3 linked regions of the Lepisosteus oculatus genome follow. The protein of the gene in region 2 purifies or fractionates together with the protein of the main gene of each other region. This does not show direct contact. Links are inferred from orthologs where the notes say so. Each region holds a gene or a part of one and is shown on either strand. Other genes may lie near its edges.

Region 1 (7,189 bases), on a different chromosome or scaffold from region 2:
TAAAACAATAGCAAAACCACAACCGTTCTTCTTATTCCCCTCAAAAACTAACCATTGAGATTTTATACAAGTCTTAATTACACATGGATGTTGCCTCTAAGGCAGATGACATTCCACATGCTAACCAGTAATAAGATGTTTACCATAAGGCCAAAATTAATTTTCAGATAAAGACGCATAATGGCGCCATCTGGTGTTCAGCATCGGCATTAACGCAGTTTGCAACTGTTTCCAACTCGGTACAACGAAACACGAAAAAGCACCTAAGCCCCAAAACTTAATTTTTGATCATCTCTGATCTACCAACTATATACCTTCTGTATGCTTGAAAGTCCTTGTTACAGAAGTGGTCACAGGCAACTCTTTACAGGTCTTTTTCCTGACATACCGAAAGTATATCTAACAACTACAAAGCCTATGAAATATAACTAAGGATGAAAATAATAATACTAATAATTGCTTACTATACCGCTTTTCTGGACATTCCACTCAAAGCGCTTTACAGGTAATGGGGATTCCCCTCCACCACCACCAATGTGCAGAATCCACCTGGATGATGCGGAGGCAGCCATAGTGCGCCAGAACACTCCCCACACATCAGCTATCAATGGGGAGGAGAGCAGAGTAATGAAGCCTATTTATAGATGGGGATTGGTAAGGGCGAATGGGAACTCTGGCCAGGACACCGGGGTTATACCCCTACTCTTTTCAAGAAACACCCTGGGATTTTTAATGACTACAAAGAGTCAAGACCTTGGTTTTACCTCTCATCTGAAGGACAGCACCTTTTTTACAGTATAGTGTCCCCGTCACTACACTGGGGCATTAGGACCCACACAGACTGCAGGGTGAGTGTCCCTACTAGCCCCACTAACACCTCTTCCGAGCAGCAATCTTAGTTTTTCCCAGGAGGTCTCCCATCCAGGTACTAACCAGGTTCACACCTGCTCAGCTTCAGTGGGTTGCCAGTTGTGAGTCACAGGGTGATACGGCTGCTGACAGTATACTACTGACTGAATAAAACACATATCACACAGGATATTTGGAAACCGGAACTAGAGAGCCATAGAAAATATGAAAAAATGTTTCACATATCCTTATGTTTTAATTAACTGTTTTAATTAAGAAATGAATGGATCAATACTTACAAGATGACACGTGCCTTGAGGAGGAATTAGTGCCTATGGATAACAACAAAAACACTCACCACTGGCTGTGTCACATTCAGGTTTAACACCACGTGTCTCTGGGATAGCTGTTGTAATGATTGAATTGATCAATAGGATCCTGAAATGTTTGGCCTGATATTGTGGATACTGTTTATATATAACTGATCTTATACAGAATTAGGGACATCCTTCTTCACCCTATACATTTTAACAAGGAGGCTGATAATAAGTCACTGTCCCAGTAAAATTAAAGTGGACCCCGACTTAGAATTTTCCTTATCAAAAAACTTTTGAGTGGTCAAATCTAAATGTGCATTTTGAGGCTGTAAGCTGGAAGGCATGCAGTACCATCAGCAGTTTGAGCTCATGGTGCCATTGTCACCACAGAGACACCCTAAGCTTTGACTTCCCTCAAAGGCCACATTCCAGAATGTTAAATGAACCTCTTTTAAACCAGCTACTGTTCTGAAGACCCAGGAAAAGTGTTCAATTATCTCAATGGGCTTAGAGATCAGGCTGAATGAAACCCAGTAGGGCCACACCTATCCATCGCTGGGGTTAAAGGCAAGTTCAGAGCTGAGGCTTCTGTACTTAAGTAGTGTCAAATGGAGTTGGATGTACAACAGGGCTTCCAGTATCAGGAACATCCCCAGGGCCCAAGGCCAGGGAAAACAAGAAATTAAATTAAAATATACTGAGGCTGCAGAAAATTAAGAACATTATTTTTCTTCCATGAATGGGCTTCTATTTTTTATCCAAATTAGCTGTCTTCCTACAAACTATTCAGTTTAATTGGATATCTACTAAGAAGGACTAGAGTAACACTTTTTTACAGTACTTAAGTGGTTCGAAAGGTCCCCCTGAGAACAGCACTTACATAACAGTGCTCCGGAGTGCTATTAGTGTTGTTTTTCAGTTCTAAGCATTATAAAAATAGAAATAATTATCTTAATGGTGCAATTTATACAACTGCACTTTTCTTCTTGGTTCTTTTCTCACCAATTGAGCTTCCTTTGTGCTTTGCAAGATTTTTTTTCGTTTACATTCCTGTTTTGTTATTCTCTGTTTTGCAGGTAGAGTCACAGGGAAAAATAAAATACAGAACTTTAATAGCATTGTATCAAACTTTTTCCAACAACAGTCTCTTTTTGACAACAGTGTATTCAACATAAAATATAAAAATCCAGCATCCCGAAGACAGCAAAATGTTTTTTTTTATTTCTGACACTCATATGACCTCCTGTCACTTTATACTCAACACAGACTATATTCAGCCACAGCTAGAGTGCGCAGTGTGTTTCCGTCTGTCTCTACAATGTTCAAATCTTTTTAAATCTGTTTCCCTTGTTTCTTTCCCAAGTTGGCAAAAAGCTACACTCACCAACAGCCACCTGCTAGAATTACATAGCTGTACCGATGCCTGAAAATAAAAAAGTTAGTTCCACTATCAAATTCCTTCTTTTTTTTCACAAAAGCTATCAAAACATTAATCGGGCATCTAGTCTCAGCCACAGGACTGCATGGAAGGTGCTAAAAGAGAAGATAGATTTTATAGAAGCTTATTTTAACGTCCCTTTGCTTTGCTCTTGGGGAATTAATACCAATAATTCATTATTTCTCGCAGGACAGTCGTTCACACAATAACTTTGGCCTCTGCAAGCTGCTTTGGATAAAGGTGGATCTACACGCTGATCCTAAGGAGATGCTGCTTTTCAGTTTCGAGTGAAGAATACAACAAAAGGAACAGAAATACCTTTCGGGCCCCGATACTATCTAGAAAGATACAGTCTCTCAAAGTGCTCCGTCTCAGCTCTTCTATGAGTGTCTCTCGGAACAAGAAAAAAAGGTAAAAAGCAGAATTCATACATTTTCTACACAGCCTGTTGCAGCATATTTAGATTTGCACGAAAGTTTGATTACTTCGTTTTACTTCATTGTAAAGCCTCGTTAATTTTTGGGTTACCATATATATTTTTGGAAAGCGATGACATATTACTTGATTGACTTTTTTACCATCGGTTCGGTTATTAAAAATGAGCGGAAAATATTTGAATTATTCTGTTATTAGGTATCGTAAAGCTAAGGAGCTGGATTTCCTAACATACAAGTGCCCAACTTAGTTAACCTGACCTGCAGCGTTTCTGGTGTAATGCAAAATCAAATGTATAGAAAAGTAAAAGTTCTTTATGTAACTATGGCGATATGAAACCGCTTTTGTCATTATGTATTACATTTTGTTTTTTATACTTAAAACATAATTCATCTGACAATTTTAAGATTTGTCAACATGCTGTTCTTAAACCCACAGCAACGCAAATGAAAACACGTAGAAAAACTAAGGTCAATTTCAACAGTACCTTGTTTACCAATAGTTTGCATGTATAAATCCATCTAAAAAGGTGCCACATGTTTTTGGACAGTGATTGTGCACGGGGTTATGTGATGAATTATGTAACTACTGCAGCACAGAACCAACAATAAATATTTCAGTCCTGCCATGACACCACACAAGACTTCAGCCTTTCTCCATAACGCATAATCCACGCGCACGTGTCCTCCCTCTTTCTTACTAAAACTTCCACATCCTGAAAGAGAGCTCTACTTTGTCTTCATCTGCTTTGGCGGAGGAACACAATAGCGGTACAGCAACACAAATGTTTTGAGACGATTCAGCTAACGCACCAGCCTCCTAATCCCCACCCCTCCTCTGAGCCAAATCTATTATGAAGTCATTTGATTGACAGTAGAATTCCCAATTGAATCTCTGGATGTAATCTAGACGCTCTATTGACAGAGCGTTTCGGCGAATAAAAATATATATGGGGTGTACGTAACTATTAGTTCCTGCTTGCGCATGACGATGTATGGTTGACACTTCCTTTAACCAATCGCGAGCATGATGTATTCTGAGCTACGCTCTTCGATCTACACTACCACCCAATAGGAGGTTAAAAGGCGGGTTTAATCTCGGGAAGCTGTCGCGTAGCTAACCGTGGGGATAGATAGGTTGTTGAGTGCGAGGCCGTTCGTCTGTGAGTGTGTCGGGGCGACTGGGGGAGAAGGGGGAAAAAACTCGCTGGAAAAAATAATTTATAGATCTGTAAAAAAAAATATTTAAAGCAAACGTTATTTTAATTAATCGTTTGAGCCTCTAGTCCCCTTTCGCATGATACTGCTTGAAAGGAAGTAAGAGTATTTTGCTTGAGATAAAGAAGGGCGGGTTGGAAACATGTTTTAAAATCCTGTTTATTTTTCTGTCACCTAAAGTAACCCTAAATATTCCCCGGGATTTTAATTCGCTGGCTAGCCTGAAAACGGAAAAAAACCCCGCTGACAGCCTGCCGAATATGAACTGAGATTCCTGCCAGGGATATAGCCTTATCTGGTTGTTTTGTGGATAAACATCGGCGACGATCCTGGGTTTTATTGTTTCATTGTAGCTCAGTTAGTGGCTGCGGGGTCGCTGGGCTGCATCGGACAGCCCGTGCAAGATCAAGATTTTCGTCAGCGGCTTCAGCACTTCAGCAAAGTGGAACCTGAGCGTTGATCAGCAACACTGTACTTAAAATCTTTCGAGGTGAGTTTTTTTCAGTGTGTGTGTGTGTGTTTTCTCCTAGCAGTCCATGGATTGTTAGTGCAGCGATGTTAGCTGATGTACTTTAGCGACGGCCTGGCCTGTGTTGCATGCTCGATGTGATACTTTTTCGATCTGTTTCGCTTCACTTGAGATGTAACTGTAGTTGGGGCTTTTTTGTTTCTTGGAAATCCGCCCAGAGACCGGTTCTCTTATTTTTTTCCAAGGTATTTTTGGTTTTCGAAGTCCATGCTCGGGGCTTTGGCTTTGTGAATATGTGACGATGGGTGTTACGTAACGGCAATTGTTGCTGAAAAATTGTGTGGGGGAGAGAGATGGGCAAAAACTTTTCACGTATTTTGATTCCCTGGAGCTGTCTTCGTATTTCTGTATCTGGTAAGGAGCCCTAGGGTACTTTAGTGTCCATAAGCGAGGGCAATCAGTTTTTGCAAGTTTGTTCATTTAATCGATCAGATGGAGTATCTTAATTTTAAAACATTTAGATCACAAAATCCTGATCTAATGATCATGAAGTGATTTCAGTCTTTTAGTTTGGATGACTTGTCATCTTTACTTGTGAGGTAAAAAGGGCTATATTAAGTTCAACGAGATTCCTCAGGTGTCGATTAGGACTAGCTTCCAGTACCGGAAAATGGTACAGAAACATTTTGTAGGGCGTGAATGTGAGGATTTCTTTGTTCATAACTCGCGAATTCTGTTTTTTTTTTCGAGTGCATTTAATTTTAGGCTTTGTAATTTGGTAACTTCGAATATGTAACACATATAATCGAATATGTAATGCCCATGTTTGCAAGCCCTAGGTGAAAACGATTGCGCACGTCTTTTGTACACAGGCTTGGGGTTGTCACTTACCTCTCAAAAGTTTAAATAAAGCTGTAGAGGCTGGCTGAGATATTTTATCAACGTTTCTTAAAATACATTTCTTTTTAAATTCTTTCTCGATGGCTTCTGTTTGGAAAATAGTTTGATTAGCTTCGCCCACATTAAATTAGTGGGGTATCTTGTTTTTAACACTTAACAGTGCGACGCCTTTTGGGTTTGGTTGAAGGTTTCACGTCTTGTAAAATTTAAAATAATATGTTTATGCTACAATTCCTATGATGCGCTTGCTTCTTCACCATATTTTTACGTTTATTACTCATTGTCTTCCTTTGCAGCCGCCGCAGAAATCGATTCTTATAAGTGCTGCCTGAAATCGTTTTTGTGACAAGATTTTCGGCTTTAAATAACAGTCTCTTAACGTACTGGATTATTCTTGCTCTCTCTTGAAGTCTTTTTGCTTTCTACTTTAACTCCACACGTCAGAAGAAAAAAACACTGCAATGCAAAGTGTCAACTTCAGTCTGTGTTTGAAATAACCATAGTGAAAGTTAAAGGCACGTTTATTACCATTTCTGTATACACTACCGCATGTGCAAAGAGGTGGAAATCCCATTATAATGCTGGAAAACATTTTGATGCATATTTTTTAAACGATTAAAAAATTCTCAATTTGGATTTTTTTGTGGTGGTGGGGGTGGTTGTCATCTGTCCCTGATAAAGTGTTGCCCGTTAATTTATGAGTTCAGATAGTTGGTTTTCCTAAAATTGGTGTCTAGTATTGTAAATCCTTCTGTAATGATTTGTGTGGATTTGAAGTGAAGTGACTGTTCCCAGTCCAGCACTTCCAGGGGTCTCTTTAGAAACTGCTGAACTGGAAGTGATTGTTTTGCTGAACGGAAAAATTTTGATATCGCCATAATCATCAATATTTGTTGCCTTCAAACTCTTAATAGTAATTAAAGGTGGGTTCTAGAAATTGATGCCCATTAGCAAGTGTTGCAGCAGCTGTTTAATTAATGTGCTTGAGTCTCTCACATCTTTGGTTGAGGTGTGCTCACTTTTAAGTTGTCATGTTCCATGATTGTTGCTGGAAAGGATCCATGATGATGTCTGCACGACATCAAATCTTGTCTTTCGTACAATATTTCTTTCTGCTGACTGCTAAGTACTTAACTGTTCATAACGGCTAGGATGTTGTGGTTTACATCATGCTCTAGTACAGTATGTATGGTAAAAACGTCTGGGGATCGTTTACACAAGGGGGGAATGAGTTGAATATGAAAAAGAGTGCTTTTGTGAACACCGACAACATAGCCTTTTTATTAATGATTAGGCCTACCTGTTATATAGTCAGCATAACAAACTCTAAACAATTTGAGTCTTTCTGTTTGCAGTTTCTAACAGTGTAAGTTTACAAGGCATGTATTAGACAGTTTCTTTATAATAAGTGCATGAAGCATTCGCTTAATGTTGGCTTGAGTGTACTTATTTCTGCATTTATACTTTTTTCAACCTCTCAAATCGGCCAAGTAAAAAAAAACCAAACCTTTTCTGTTGCAGGCCTTCATCCTGAAAATGCCTGTGTTTTATTAATAAGGAGTCA
Region 2 (7,026 bases):
AGGCTTACCAAAGTACTGGTATTCATACCCTTTAAACCTATATAAAAACCTATGTATGTCGTACAAAAGTTTTTGTTTTACTATTTTTGCATTTTACCGAGACCACTTACACATTCATCGCATTCTAGTTCTCCTTGTGGGAATACACATTGGTAGTACATTGGTTTTTCGTACATGAATAAAGTATTGCACTGTAATAAAATAGACTTTTATTCAATGTCTGTGATGAAATCTTTGTTCTGCATATGTACTTTAACAGTATTTTACATTAAACAGATTTTACAACGCATTTGTACTTTCATGTTTTCTATTTTTTTCTAGTTATAAGAATAAACCAAGCATGTCGGCTGAACTCACTACAGTTTTACATTATTGCGGGGAAAGTTCCATATTCTTGATTTTGCAAAACTCCCTTTAGCAGTTTGTCTGTTAAATCCAAAATCTATTAAGCGGAGAGTCAATTATGACCATTATAAGTAATCTTCTTTAACAGATATAATTCACCCTCACATCTAGTCAAAGCAAACAACCACTAACAGCCCTTTTACTCCTCTAGATTTTATGAGTGTGGTATAGCTATATCACAACTGGTTAAAAGGGTTATAAGAATATTGATTTAGTGAGCTCACACAAATGTAGAATAAACTGATTGTACCGGAACGCTGGACCAGTCAAGTTGATGTTGAAATTCTGGCAAAGGGATAATAGTGCCAACAGTTCTACCAACACCTGCTGATCATACCCTTGTCTGTGTGTAACTTGTGATATGCAAGATCCGACAAGATCAGTCCAATGTATTTGAAAGTTAAAAAAAAATTCAACAGTGATGATACGTACCTTGCAATAAGAATCTTCTTCCAGGTTTGCGTCCATGTCTGCATCCAGTTTTCTTCCTAAATGAAGAATTATATTCAGTGAACTTCACACACAAGTTTCTTGATTTCTAAAGTTAACAGATTCTCAAATTTAAATATTTTAATGTAGAAAGAAGAAGCCAGATGCGATTTCAACAACCACAACCATTTACCTTTTGACTTCGCATTCTTCCTTGTGGGGGTATCTGCGTTCAGTGGAATTTCGATATTATCGGAATCGCCACCTTCCTCTTCAATAGCCTGAAAAGTAAACATGACAATGATTCAGTATGAATAAATTGCACCCTCTCACAAATACCTGCAGAACACTACCAAATCACAATGCAACCCTTTAAAAAAAGGATTTTCAAGGAACAGGCAAAAGGGGGTCTCCTTATTGCAAATGCCGGGCAACAAAGTTTATTTATTTTAACCCCTTTGACCTCCGTGATAACGAGTAACAACTGCAGGACACCACCTCAAAACAGCCAAGGCACCAGCATACACAGAGGATACTGAGAAGAGATTAAGCCAAGCTGGCAGCAACAACTCACACCAATAAGACCAGTCTTTCCCTAAAAACCAAACCTCATAATAAATCTGCAGTTTCAAATACGCAAATCAAAATAATGTCTCCATTGTTGAACAACACAAGACACTTGATTTCTGTAACATCAAGTAACTGCATGCTGTACCTTCGCCAGTCCTTTAGGAATGACACCCCCATTTTCTTCTTTTACCACAATCTGGGACAGGGACGACATTCACTGCTGCGTCATACATACCAACACAGAACACCTAAAGGTGAATATCTGGCTTTAAATAACGCATCTGCAGTTATGTAGGACTATGGACGCCGAGAGTCCTGGGATCCTTATTGCAAAACCCGGGTTCGACTTCCCTAAGCGTGCTTGACTCAAATCGCTCCAGAATAGCTGTATACCCTCCACACCGTCATTATAAAGGACCTCGCCATTTCTTTACCTGGTTGATCAGGAAAAAAAACACTACCGAGTGTAAACGAAGCTATGTAGAAGTCGACCGTATAACAAAAAGGGACGTTCATTAAAACGAACTTGTACCTCGGCTCAATTTGCACCCCAGCATCCAATCAAACCTGGCTAGATGAGATAACCGGGCGTTTGTCTTCTTACTTAGGTTTTTCCAAAATTTAAGAAAGCCACACATTATCCGAAGGAAAAGGGGAATGTTTTTGTCAATATTATTGATCTCACTTGAAAACGACTATTAATTCATTCGCGCCTACCACTTACAGGTCTATTCTATAGTAATAAAACAGCCAATTTTTGCGCATATGAAGAATACACAAAGCTTTCTTATTGTCGTTCAATAGAGTATGACCGTATCGTTTTTATTATTTGCAAAACTCCACCGTGTTTCTATATCTACAGAAATTGGAAAGCGAAAGTGACAAACATCCACACACTTGATATCCAGCAACTAAGTATGCATGGTGGGAGGGGAAAACAAGGCCTTCTCTGCAGAAAAAAACACAACAAGATTTTAAGGCCGCTGATAATACAGGCTTACCTGCTTCAGCCTTGCAATTAAGACGTTCTTTACTCCCGTGATGTCCAAATTCCTCCGCTTTAACTCGGTTTTAAGGTCTATGACCCGTAATTCTGTGATTTTCTTAATCTCAGTGGCCACGGCTGCCGACGCCATTTTGCCAAACTGAATGAGAAAGGAAGGTGTTTATGGTTATGGAAACACCGCCAGTTCCCGGATGTTGACGACGCGTACAACGTGATGACGTAAGTATTTTTTTTCTGTAGGATTTGGTTAGAATTTCAGAAATGAATTTTGTCAACGTATTATTCCACTTTTGACCTCTGAAATCCGTGTTCACACAGTATATTAGAGAAAAGAAGGAAGAAAATAAATTAGGCAGTTTTGCGATTTATAATTAATAAAATGTATAGGTATGTTATGCTAGAAAATAGACCAACCTCATTCTTCGGATTATATAGACGTTTACTTTTAAAATAATTAAACATTATTAAATCGGATCTTAGAAAATCGTGAGACAAAAAAGTTTAAAAATAATAAGATTATTTAGAACGACTAAAATATGTGTAATGTTTTTTTTTAATAACAAAGCATCCAAATTGGAATAAGGTATTTCTAACATTTTGATAATTTGGTTACTACGTACTGAGGATATTCTAGCTTTTCTGGAGCACCCCTGTAAATCAGGTCCTATACTGTGACAGCGTGCACATCCCCAGCTCTTTGTCTAAAGATCTGTCACCTGTTTTCACGTCGAAATTCACTTATTCATACTGTACACTTGTGGTCTCCCCAATGCTTTTAATATTAAATATTAAAGAACATGCCTAACCAGAGCTGAATTAACTTGCTTGCAACATTAAATAAAGATAATCGGATGTGTCGCTTCTGTATCTCTATCATAAAGCAGTGTATGAATTCTTCGCATTCACAATTATATAATGTACAGTGGACAATTATTTTGGATATTTTAGTCAAAGATTTTAAAATCTGTGAAGACAATTTCCATTACAGTTTGCTTTTAAAGCCTTTGTCCGTCGACATTAGCATATTTCTGTACCAACATGTGTGGGCTTTTGGAATTGCGAAAACAAGTGGAAATTCTTATTACAGAGATATCGAAATGAAAGAGGCTTATGAAAGAAAGGTCACCTTTTGGTATATCGTGCTTTTTGGGTTATCAGCTTACACATACAAGATGTCCTAGTCCTAGTGGTCCAGCTTCGACAACGTGATTAGACAGATTTTCCAAATGTGAACTGTCTTTTTACAAAATCTATTCAAAAATGTGATTGTTGCTTTACAAAAATGTCACCAAATAAAATTATATATGTAAATTATATAATTAAGAAAATGTAGTTATTTCGGACGTAAATTTAATCTACCTACAAAAAATATTCAAGAAGTCCATATTCAGTATATAATACCAGCTTTCTATTTACATACAATCGTGTCGCTTATCTTACATTTGCATAGGTTCTAGTACAAAACACTTGCCACAAACGACCACTAGTGGGCACAGCGCCTCATGTTTCGAAGACCCCTTGCCCAGGAAAGGGCATGCCGTAAACAGCCTCTACAGTGTCGAAAAGTGTCGTGAAGCGTCCCTCGCTGAAGCGAGGCTCCGGGGGATTGTGCAGAAAACAGATCAGGCAAGCGCAGCTACGAAGAGGAGCTCGCCTGAATAAACAACAGCCCAAGCGAGGCAGGAATGACTGCTTTATCGAGGGCCCAAATGGCAAAAGGAAAGGTTTTCCGCCTTTCTCGAAACCTTAAATGAATCCCGGCCTCAGTTGATAGCCGGGGACTGGGCGGTTGAAGGAGAAAAAAGGCGAATTTAACTAGATCTCCCCCAGTTACAGTATCGGGGCCTTTGGGGCTGTTGTTGGGTTTGTGTTATCACTTTCACAACCAGGCGCTGCTGACGTCCGAGGGTTTCTCTACGCTATTTTATTTTCAGTGGGCTGCCCTCATTTTCAGGTCCTCGCTGAAGGTTTTCGTCAGAAACGGAATCCGTTGGAGAGCAGTGTCGAGTTTGGGGCCTGTTGGCGTGAAAGGTACGTTTTTATTTCTCCTTAACGTTCAGTAGTGGCAGTACTTGATCAGTACGACGAGCTATTTCGGATCAGAGTGCTAATTCAAATGGCTTCTGACTTCGCCTGGGGAAATGGAGAAGGGGGTGGGTGGGTATACGACTATTGAATAAACCGGATTCAGAATTAAACTCGTCTGAAAAGGAGAACCAGCGAGTTGAATTCCTGACTTGTGCCCTTTTATCGCCTTTTTTTGTGTGATAGTTTTAATTTAGAGTATTTTCATACGCAGTGCCCCTGCCCCCCTCCTTTTTCGGTTCGGGCTATTGACAGTGACAGATGGGAAATCTTGGGTAAGGCAGAACGTAGGTTTTTGTTGTGATGTGCTCGATGTTGCGTTGATAAATTGTTCACTTAGGCATGGTCGTTGAGCTTTAGACAATCATTTGGATGTTAAATGCTAATATACAATTGATTGCATTAATCCAAGCGAAATGTTTGTACACGGAGTTAGCTGGTCCGAGCTCGCTCTGGACATGTCCTGCCCCTTGCAACCCAGTTATTGTTCCTTTCTCCTTTAAGAGAGTAATACAGACAGTTAAAAATCCAGCGAGAAAAATGTCCCCACTTCTATAAGACAGTTTCGAATGTCATCTATAGTCTTGGCATTGTAAACTGCTCGGTGTGGAAAGCGTAGACACTAGCGTGTCCCATCGTGATATTTTAAAGAAATCGCCCTGCTCAATCTTCCCTTTTCGTTTCCACTTCTTCGTTCTAAAGCTAGTATTGAATTGTCTTTCCTTCAGCTTCGGCTATTGATCCTAAGTAATAGTCATATAACAATGGAAGAAAGCGCATGATCAAATACCGAAGTTTTAAAGAGGTGCAGAGCACGTTAACCTTCATTTTATCTCGTACAGTTCACGCCGAGATGTACTTGGTGCAGATCTGAAGCTTTTTATATTCGGCGCAATGTTTGTTTGTTTTTTTTAATGTGATTTGTGAAGAAAGTACCAAGTGAATCTTAGAACCGCCTGCATATCCACTGGGTGTGTGACTCTGAAGCCATTTCCTCTAAAAGAAATCGAGTAATACATTTTTTGTTCCGTTTCTCAACGTGAACATCTATGTTCTATCCCGTAGGAGAACTAAGTATAAAGTATACACCCATAAGGTACAAACAGACAGCGGCTGGCGGTGACTGGCTGCTCTGGGGAGCAGTGTGTGCAAGCTGGGACACACAGATACCCCAGGGCTTTCATTTTAACCACTTAGAAGCAAAGGTTTACGGCCAAAACTTGAAAAGTTTGTTTTCTCTTGTGTAACCTTTGCCTGTTAAGACCCCACTTTTCACATATTTGAAAAATTGCCCGGGAACCATACCTAGCAGAACAAATGTTGAGAATATATTCAGAGTATATAGGCCCTTACTTACATTTTGATCTTCCAGACTTAGTTTTAGTTTAATTATGATACAGATAGCTCTTTTATAAGTGAGCAATGACACAGTTGTTACGTTTTCTGTCATAGAGCAACCTTTTTCCAAATAATGTCTTCAGGGGCCCTGGATTCTTGCTTGTGTCATATGTGTGATGCTTTATTTTCTATTTTTAAACAGTTCAGTATTTTAATGTGGTCACTGGTATACCTATAGCTGTATCCAAGATTAGCACCTCTAGTTTATCTTGATGTATGTCAACAGTGCCTCTTCTATTTTAGAAACTTTAAATGTGGTTAGATAACACTCCTAGCAAAACAGGCTAAAGATGTCATCATGCATCACTATATTTAGCAAGGTGGAAAACGCAGAGAAAGAGAAAGTAGAGGGTGTATTATAATTTGTATCGTAACAGGTTCTGCATGTTCTTGCTTTGTGGCACCATTCACACTGGACGCTAACATTGGTGTTCACCAGAACCAGTGCCAGTTTCTCTCTTTGTACTGCTGTCTGGTGAAGGTGAAAAACATTACTAACACAAGGATTGCACTCTACCTGTTTACACACACTGCCAAAGCACCCTTCATAGCCTGTATGGAACCATAGGTGGTTTGTATCAAATATTTGTGCACTTGTCACAATAGGAGTTGGTGTTTGTTCTTGGTGTCACCTCCGTTGCAAAGCTTGGTCCAGCTAGAAGACACCATAAGGCAGGTCTGTGTACCTTGTGGTTTGAGGATCCCAGCTGTGTTAGAATTGAATTAATGGAAGAATGTAAAGAATATGAAATCAACAGCTTTGTAATTGGGGAAACTGGTGTTTATCTTATACAATGTCCATTTATCGATACTGTAAGCCGGATTTCATTAGTCAATTATGAATACACTAAATGGCATCATTAAGAGGAAGCCTATTTAGGATGAAGATCACCATTTGTTTATTATCTTGACCCTGAATTTCAGCATAAGTGAGTTAAGGCATGTGCTGAGTTTCTGTCCTCATCAGTACTTGGTTTTTCATTCTGGATCATTCTGGCAAGTCTCTTTACCACGCACATGTGAGCTCGCTGCAGTTGTGACTTGCGATATTTCTGCACACACAAAAAGTTCTTAGTCTTGCCAGGATCCCGAGTCTGAAAATGAATGGAGTGGTCTTGGCTCTTGCATTGTCA
Region 3 (7,636 bases), on a different chromosome or scaffold from region 2:
AATTAAACAATATTAATTAAATGAAAAAGTACATTATACAAAAGCAATGTATCTGTTTTTTTTTATCAAAGTGAAAATGAATAACAGATATTTGTATGTCCTCCAGGAAACTGGTAGAAAGACAGGTAATGGGGAAAGTGGGCATCTCCGTAGAAACCAAAACCGCAATGGCCATGGCTTATGATGATCTGAGTAATAAATTAATGCATCAATATGTTTTTGTATGTCTGTAAATTAGGCTGTGGAAATGGTGCTGTACAATATCATCAATGCCAAATACATTTTTTTTGCTTCCTTAAAAGCATCAAGTTTGTTTTGTTTTTTTGGCCTCTGTGCCATTTTAAATTGAAAACACTTGTTAAGGGGTGAATTGTAAGTATTCAACGCAGGAGGCATCTTTGCTGTTTGATCTATTCAAAATAGTGTTAAAGAATGAAGAAAGTCTAGTTTGCACATTTATGTTGCTGCTGTATAAGACTAAGTACCAAGGCTTTATCTTTTACCACTATACCTCTTTCATTCTCATTGACATGCCCTGAATTCTAAATCATTAAGGTGAGGAAACAAAATACTTTTCAAGTCACCTTCCCTGCATGATAACAAGTTCTGATTTTTTCCCCATGAGTATATCTCACAGTGATTTCCAGTGCCCTTTTTCATTATACCTTTGCATTTCTAATAGCAATGTTCTTGTGAAATAAGTGTGATATACTGTACATCACTATGTTAAGAACAAAATTGAACCACTACAATATTCTGTATTTAAAAAAAGGCAGTTCTGAATGTAGAACTTCAAGGGAGCTATCTCATACCCTGGAGAGCTGTGGCAGATAATTGACAAATTGGGGGTTTCTACTGTTATTCAAAGTAGCGGTAGATATGAAGTTAGATGGTGATGGATTCTCAGGACCTGTAACATAGGCCATTCCAGCCGCAGAGCCAGAACGGCACAGGTAAAATGTCAGATTACCCCCAGATAACAAATTAACAAATATCCTTACTTCCACAATTCTGCACTTCATGTTTATCAGCAGTCTCATGACAAAGGTGCTCAGAGGCTGGATGGGCAGAGCTCTTTAATGAGCCACAGCAGTTAACACAGGTTGGATAAAGTATAATTCAGACATTGAACATTTGGGTGATGAGGGGCAGATGGAAAACCGACCTTTCCTGTGACCCATCTAGCAAATGTCTCTGACTCCTCACAAAACAATCACCAGCCACAAAACCTGTATAACCTTGAGGGTCTGTGTTAATGATCTGAAGGGCAGAAGATCTGAACACACTCACTCTTTAATTGCAGAAGTCTATCTGGAGGTGGTACCCTTAGAGGATTAATTAAGCATTCAAACAAACTCGCGTCTTCCTGGTGAAAATCCATTGCATGCCAAGGAGTATGGATGGGGTAAAACATTGATTTACTATGCATATTAATTACAGTTCAGTAAGGTTTCCAACATTTTTTATTATGTATTCTCAATCCGTGGTTAAAGCTTTGTCATTTTTAAAAATGTTACCATTATTTGCTTCCATTTATATTGCATAAAAGCTCGATTTGGCAACAGTATTATTCATAATTTATTTGTAACGTTCCTACATGGACACGTACTACTTCATCTTCAAGTGACAGTACAGTAGGTTACTACCTTGAAAACTGTTCTTGTAAGAAAGAAACACGATTTGAATACAAAATATTTAAAAATAAAATAAAAGGCCAGTTTTTGTTATTTTAAACCCACTTTGCCATTACCAATTTTCATTACCATCTTTTCAAATATACACAATTTATGTTTGCTATCCCATAACATGTATATACGACACTTGATAAAAGTCACTTTTTGAGGGTGCAATTAGAGTCTCGGAGGAGCCAATGGCAATAAAATTAAAATCACCGACTAATAATTTGCAGTGACCAGCCTGAACTAAGATTTATTTTGATAAAGAAAACTGCTTGTATTTTTTTTCTTCCCTTTAACACAAACGTTTCGGGATAGTACATTGTCATTAACAATTTCCTTTTAAATAGAAGACAGGAAGTTCTTCGGCGCCAGGATTTAAAACGGGGATTCCCAAAATCCGTTGAGTATAACGAAATCCATGACGCGGTTTTTACACTTGACAGAATTTTGGAGTCGCATACCCGTAAGTTGGTCTTGATAAGTAAATCGCTGTATGACACGGTTTTTAAATATTTAAACCAGAACATTCATGCTGTTTAAGTCAGTTTTATATTTAAAACTCCTGCCCAAGCCACCAAACCGTGAATCACTATTGCTGGAAGCAAACTCAACATTCCTTAATTTTGTCCTTCACACAGCACATAGTAACACTGCCCATAGCAAGGTTGTGAGTCACAAAGATTTAAAGTTTTTCAGACTGAGTAATTTGAAAATCTAGATCTGTATAGAGGAGAGGCCAGGGTCACATAGAAGCGAATAGCTAAGTATTATGAATCATTTTTCTTAGGAATAGTTAATGGTAAACAATATCGTCGCTTGCAGACGATAAAATATTTGTCAGACAACAGCGACAAATTTTTGTGCGCATGTTCCCAGGCCTTTGAGGCAAAAATCTAATATTTCATAAACAATTATTTTATTTTCGCACCACAAAAGTATTACGCTGTATACCCAGTCGTGAACCTTGTGGAATGATTTATTCTGCAACCGTGCTTGATCAATTACGGTAAGTACTAGCTATTCGAAAAGACAATTCATTCGAATAAAAAAAAGATCTGTGTTGATTTCTGGTGAGTAAAACAGACATTTTCCAGTATCTCTGAATTGTAACGAGTCCATAATACTGTTGCTCCCACTATTTTATGTACAGTGTATATTCTAACAGGGCCCCCTTGAAAAGGACATGGTGCAACTCAAGGGGTTTTATCCTGTCAATAAACTTTGATTTTATAGTGGAGATGAAGTAAGCTCTCAAACACAACTGTTTTTTTTATGTTTAGCTAATGCACAACACGTATGTTTCATTAGACATTTTTACATATCTATGTGTTCTGAACACTTCTTCACAGTTTCCCATTTTCCTTTCAAACGTTGTTTCTGCCTGCCTTTTCTTGAACAGTCAAAGCCTTATTTGTATCAAGGTTCCGTGAGAACAGAAGTCGGACATAAATTAAAATTATACATTTGCGTTTTTTCATCGGTGAAGACAAGAAGCTTTCTCAAGCAAAAAATTGCCATCACCTACTGGGAATTTATTTTTTACATCTGGTTGGTGGATACAGTACACCCTTAGATTTGACCCTGCTCACATTCTGAAAAAGAATTGTGTGGATGAGACACGGGTGTATTATCAGCGTTGAATTGACTTTTTTGTTTATTTTTTTTCTAATTACTAGGAATATGTAAATTCACATTAACATTCACGAACCTCTGGTTTTGGTCTTTTCTCGGTTAAACTCTTCACCGATGCACACACCAAAAACGCCTTGCCATTTCATCTGCCAAAGTAAATAATATAATGTTAATATTCTAACAACACTCAATTCACTGAGCACTGACCTTGACAGAGGGAAATGTAATATCCCTTAATTGTCTAGGCACCAGATGAGATCTGACACAGTCCATGAATAATAAATCGTTGCAAATATGCACTAATGCTTCCTGCTAGGAGTTCATATCGTAAATATGTATGTATATTGAAAGTAACTTAGTGTGTATTAAGTCCGTTCTAAGAAGGATGTCATCAGAAGCAGTGAAAATAAAACTATCACCTGATGTAATGAAATATGTTGTACATGTTTTATTCTTCAGACACTTCAGACATCTCTCGTAATGTAATGCGCTGTGTCCGGCTCTTTAGCTGGAAGCGTTATATTTTGCCTGAAATGGCAAGAGGAGTAGTGTTTTTTACCGTTTTATTTCCTGGAAACAGGCAATCTCTTGACATCTAAAGCAGAAAGTTACACGAATACTACATATCTGTCACCACAGTGAACTGTTCCGTGTCTGGAGTTTCCGTGGGAACAGAGTAGGCTGCAGTTAAACACACATTTGACCAGATTTAGATTTAAGTAAGCCTTAAGTAAGGCTTTTAGTTTTGTTCCGAGAATTTTTTTTCATGTCAGAAAAACAGAACTCTTTTGTCGTTTACAATTTTAGATCAATATGCCGATAAACTGAAATTGTTGATTATTACAATAGTACTATCACGTAATATACATTATAAACCTTGAGATTTAAATGTCTCCTTGACAATAATTTAATACGTATTTCTACAGTGATTTTAATCGCCCTGCTCTACAATGGTAAACTGACCGTGTATGGAAGGACGATTACAGTCAAATTATGCATAAAGATATATATATATAGTTCATCATTAAACAGTTTACACTGAGACAATCGGTACGGGTTGAAAGACAATTAAATGCAGATATTCATATAATTGAGACAAAGGAAATAAAATACGAAAAAGAAAGAAAAAAATCAAAGAAACGGGACTTCAATGGAGATTTGTCTGTGTGAGAAGGGGAGTTAGCGTTTCCTGAGACTTTTCTGTCGAGAACATTTTCTTCTTTCCGTTTCAAGTAACGCGTTTGTCGTAGCAACCGAAACGGCACCATCGCCTCAGGCGTCAACGGAGTTACAGGCGGCTGGTGGTGACATCGCAGGCTGGGCCGTGTGCCCGACTGCAGAAACAAACACAAGCCCAGACTGCGAGACAGACACCCACGTCTCGTTTTTCCGTGACAAGCCCGTGTGCTCCGAGCAGCCGGGTGACGTAGCCTGTTGGGTTGTGGAGTGACGTGGTGAGTCTGTGTGTAGTGATGTGTCTGGCTGCTTGCATTTTGTTGACGGTCGGGCACGGAGCGAGGGGACACGGAGAAGAGGAGGGAGGAGAGGCGAGAGAGGTGGATTTTTTTCACACACAAAAAAGAAGGTTACACGCGGGCGACCAGGATTTACACACGGTAATTAGTCACTGTCACCGGGCCTCTGTACCACTCCCCTCCACGAAAAGAAAATCGCACGTTTACCCTGTAAACAGCATGCTGTACTGTACTGATGGCAAGGTATGGGAGCTGAAGGTGTGTAGCTAGCGAGTGAATTGACCAGTTTGCACTGGGGCGATACAGTTTTATTGCACGCATGCTATCAAGGGAGGTCGCTTCGCTGACGCTGTTAATTTGTTTTGGGTTGCTGTTCTTAGCCACACACACACACCAAAAAAAAAAAAATATTGCGTTTAAAAAAACACGAAATAAAAGTAGCAACTGAAGCACAGTAAGGTATTTCCCCTCTGTATCGGGGTATCTGTTAGCTAAGTATTATTTCTAAAACGCGTTTTCTGGTCGACGAGTGCAATTCTGATTATTCAAGGATTGCCCTTCCTCTGTTCGGGGATATACTCGGTTTAGGACGGGGGCACCAAGGGTTTGGCTGTGCGGTAGCGTGTGTGTGGGGGGTGGGGGTGAGAGGCAGGAAGAGAGTCCCGTGAAAGGTGTACGATACAGTGAATGTCATGAACACTACACAGGCGAGCCGGTGGCACAACATAGTGGAGGAAATAAAGGAAAGAGAGGTAGGTGGGGAGAAAAGCGAGTGAGTGAGAGTCGTGTGTACGCTGTCCTTGCTAGGAAAGGAGGGAGGGGGGGGGGGGGGTGCACCCGGAGCAGAGTAACGAAATGTCAAGATACAGCAGCCGCCACAACAACGCTGAGCGCTGCGCTTGAAAACCATCGGTGTCCGAGCACACTGCAGAGCGGACAGGGGGACCGGGCGGAGCGGTGACTATCCGCTAGGAGGAGAAAGCGGCGTTTGGGCGAATTTGGGACGAACCGTTAAGATATCGGGTGAACCAGCGTACTGTGCCGTTTAGTCATCAGCCAGCCCTTGTGGACGCGGCATCACCGCGACTAGCTCACGCTGAAACATCGGCCGGGACTCGAGGGGTAGCCTGCTTCTGGTCGACTGAATTGGGGATTCACTCTGCCGCACGGACTGTCGTTGTTATTGCGCTACAGTGGATACATGTTTGTTTTTTTTTACCTCGATTGCAGCTTTATACTTTGCTCTACATCCGAACCATCTGGTGCATATCGGAGAAGGTCAATGCTGTCGGCGGTGCTTCAGTTGAACCTGACTGGATCTAAGCGGAACTGAGACGATACTGGAATTCAAGGCTTGTGTAAGTTAGACATCTTCATCCTTTACCTTTGAGAGAATTTTTAGTTGGGTCATAATTTGTATCTATTTATTTTTTCTTTACCTGTATCATATGATCTGTATAACACTCCCCCTTCTGTTACTTTGAGCATTTAAACGCCACTGTCTAATTTAAGAAACTTATTTTATTATTGTATGTTTTGTAATTCCATACATATTGGACCCTGTCACGTCTCATTAGAAACTGTGGTTCTGTACGCACCAGTCTGTAAAAGACTGCATTTTTCCTAATAAGTGCAAATATACCTGGTTGTTCTTTTAATATGGAGAAGAGCTTGAAATAAGATTTATACCAACATGTAAGACACAGGCTGAAAAGAATGTCTGGTGTAACATTTTGTATTATGCCTAAAAGGATTAAGATGACTGTTCTTCTTGGTTGTTTTTTTTAGGATTAGTATACAAGTGTGCAGTCCATCACAAACATGTATGTAAAAGGAAAGATGATAATCTACGATTGCCGTGAATGTTAAGGAGCACATCCTTTCAGGAACAAAAAATAAAGACACACGCCAACAATAACAACAAAAACTCAAAGGAAAGGCATGGCTGGCACGCCGACCACTTTGAAACACACTTTAAAAGACGTGGCCTTACTCAAAGGAAGCATGAAGCGGCTGTGCAGAGAGAGACTGGAAGACGCCCCTATTAAAAAGAGGGTGGTGGCAGAAATACATCTGAAACGCCGGACTCTGGAAGGAGTCCCCAGAATGCCAAAAGTCAAGCAGGAACACACGGAGGACCCCGGGGAAGCAGCTGTCTGCGAGAGGGAGAGACAGGGCAGGCAGCTGCCCGTTCCACCATCAAAGGCCCTGGACCTCAGTCCGGGCCTCAAGCACACGCTGGCCCAGTTCCACCTCAGCAGCCAGAGCTCCCTGGGTGGGCCAGCTGCGTTTTCTGCACGCAACCCCCAGGAGTCGCCCAGTGTCTTTGTCCCCCTTCCTTCTCCGCCAGCGTTGCCTGGCCCGCTCCTGATCCCCTGTGACAGTTCCACCGAGCTCACTCACTCTCTGCTGGAGGGCGAGTCCATCTCTTGCTTCGTGGTGGGCGGCGAGAAGAGGCTGTGTCTCCCGCAGGTGCTCAATTCCGTCCTGCGGGACTTCTCCCTCCAGCAGATCAACCTGGTCTGCGACGAGCTGTACATCTACTGCTCCCGCTGCAACGCCGACCAGCTGCACATCCTGAAGGTGCTGGGCATCCTGCCTTTCAACGCGCCCTCCTGCGGCCTGATCACGCTGACGGACGCCCAGAGACTGTGCAACGCCCTGTTGCGCCCCGGCGCGCCCCTGCAGGGCTCCTGCAAGCTGGGGGGCAAGGCCCTGCCGGAGGAGGGCGAGGGCAGCTTCGCGGTGGAGCACGAGTGCCTGGGGAAGTGCCGGGGCCTGTTTGTGCCGCGGTTCTACACTCAGCCCGACGCGCCGTGCATCCAGTGCGCCGAGTGCCAGCTGATGTTC

Evidence for each region. The genes of interacting proteins can lie anywhere in the genome.
Region 1: the proteins of rnf111 (region 2) and smad2 purify together in Homo sapiens (affinity purification with western blotting, with the first as the bait; 3 studies listed by BioGRID). This does not show direct contact. The link is inferred for Lepisosteus oculatus from reciprocal best matches to the Homo sapiens genes RNF111 and SMAD2.
Region 3: the proteins of rnf111 (region 2) and skila purify together in Homo sapiens (affinity purification with western blotting; 3 studies listed by BioGRID). This does not show direct contact. The link is inferred for Lepisosteus oculatus from reciprocal best matches to the Homo sapiens genes RNF111 and SKIL.

Annotation. Positions count from the first base shown.
Region 1 is NC_090698.1:17,846,504-17,853,692, reverse strand, and holds the start of smad2 (mothers against decapentaplegic homolog 2), read left to right. Parts: upstream 1-4,182; 5' UTR 4,183-4,201; intron 4,202-4,207; exon of another isoform or gene 4,208-4,609; 5' UTR 4,610-4,746; intron 4,747-7,189. UniProt on the Homo sapiens protein: Receptor-regulated SMAD (R-SMAD) that is an intracellular signal transducer and transcriptional modulator activated by TGF-beta (transforming growth factor) and activin type 1 receptor kinases.
Region 2 is NC_090700.1:46,404,597-46,411,622, forward strand, and holds the start of rnf111 (E3 ubiquitin-protein ligase Arkadia), read left to right. Parts: upstream 1-4,011; 5' UTR 4,012-4,441; intron 4,442-7,026. Other genes in the region: sltm (SAFB-like transcription modulator), read right to left, coding at 838-893, 1,028-1,115, 2,406-2,540. UniProt on the Homo sapiens protein: E3 ubiquitin-protein ligase. Required for mesoderm patterning during embryonic development. Acts as an enhancer of the transcriptional responses of the SMAD2/SMAD3 effectors, which are activated downstream of BMP.
Region 3 is NC_090708.1:13,841,518-13,849,153, reverse strand, and holds the start of skila (ski-like protein), read left to right. Parts: upstream 1-4,629; 5' UTR 4,630-4,927; intron 4,928-4,937; exon of another isoform or gene 4,938-5,044; intron 5,045-5,083; exon of another isoform or gene 5,084-5,538; intron 5,539-6,016; 5' UTR 6,017-6,144; intron 6,145-6,574; 5' UTR 6,575-6,727; coding exon 6,728-7,636. UniProt on the Homo sapiens protein: May have regulatory role in cell division or differentiation in response to extracellular signals.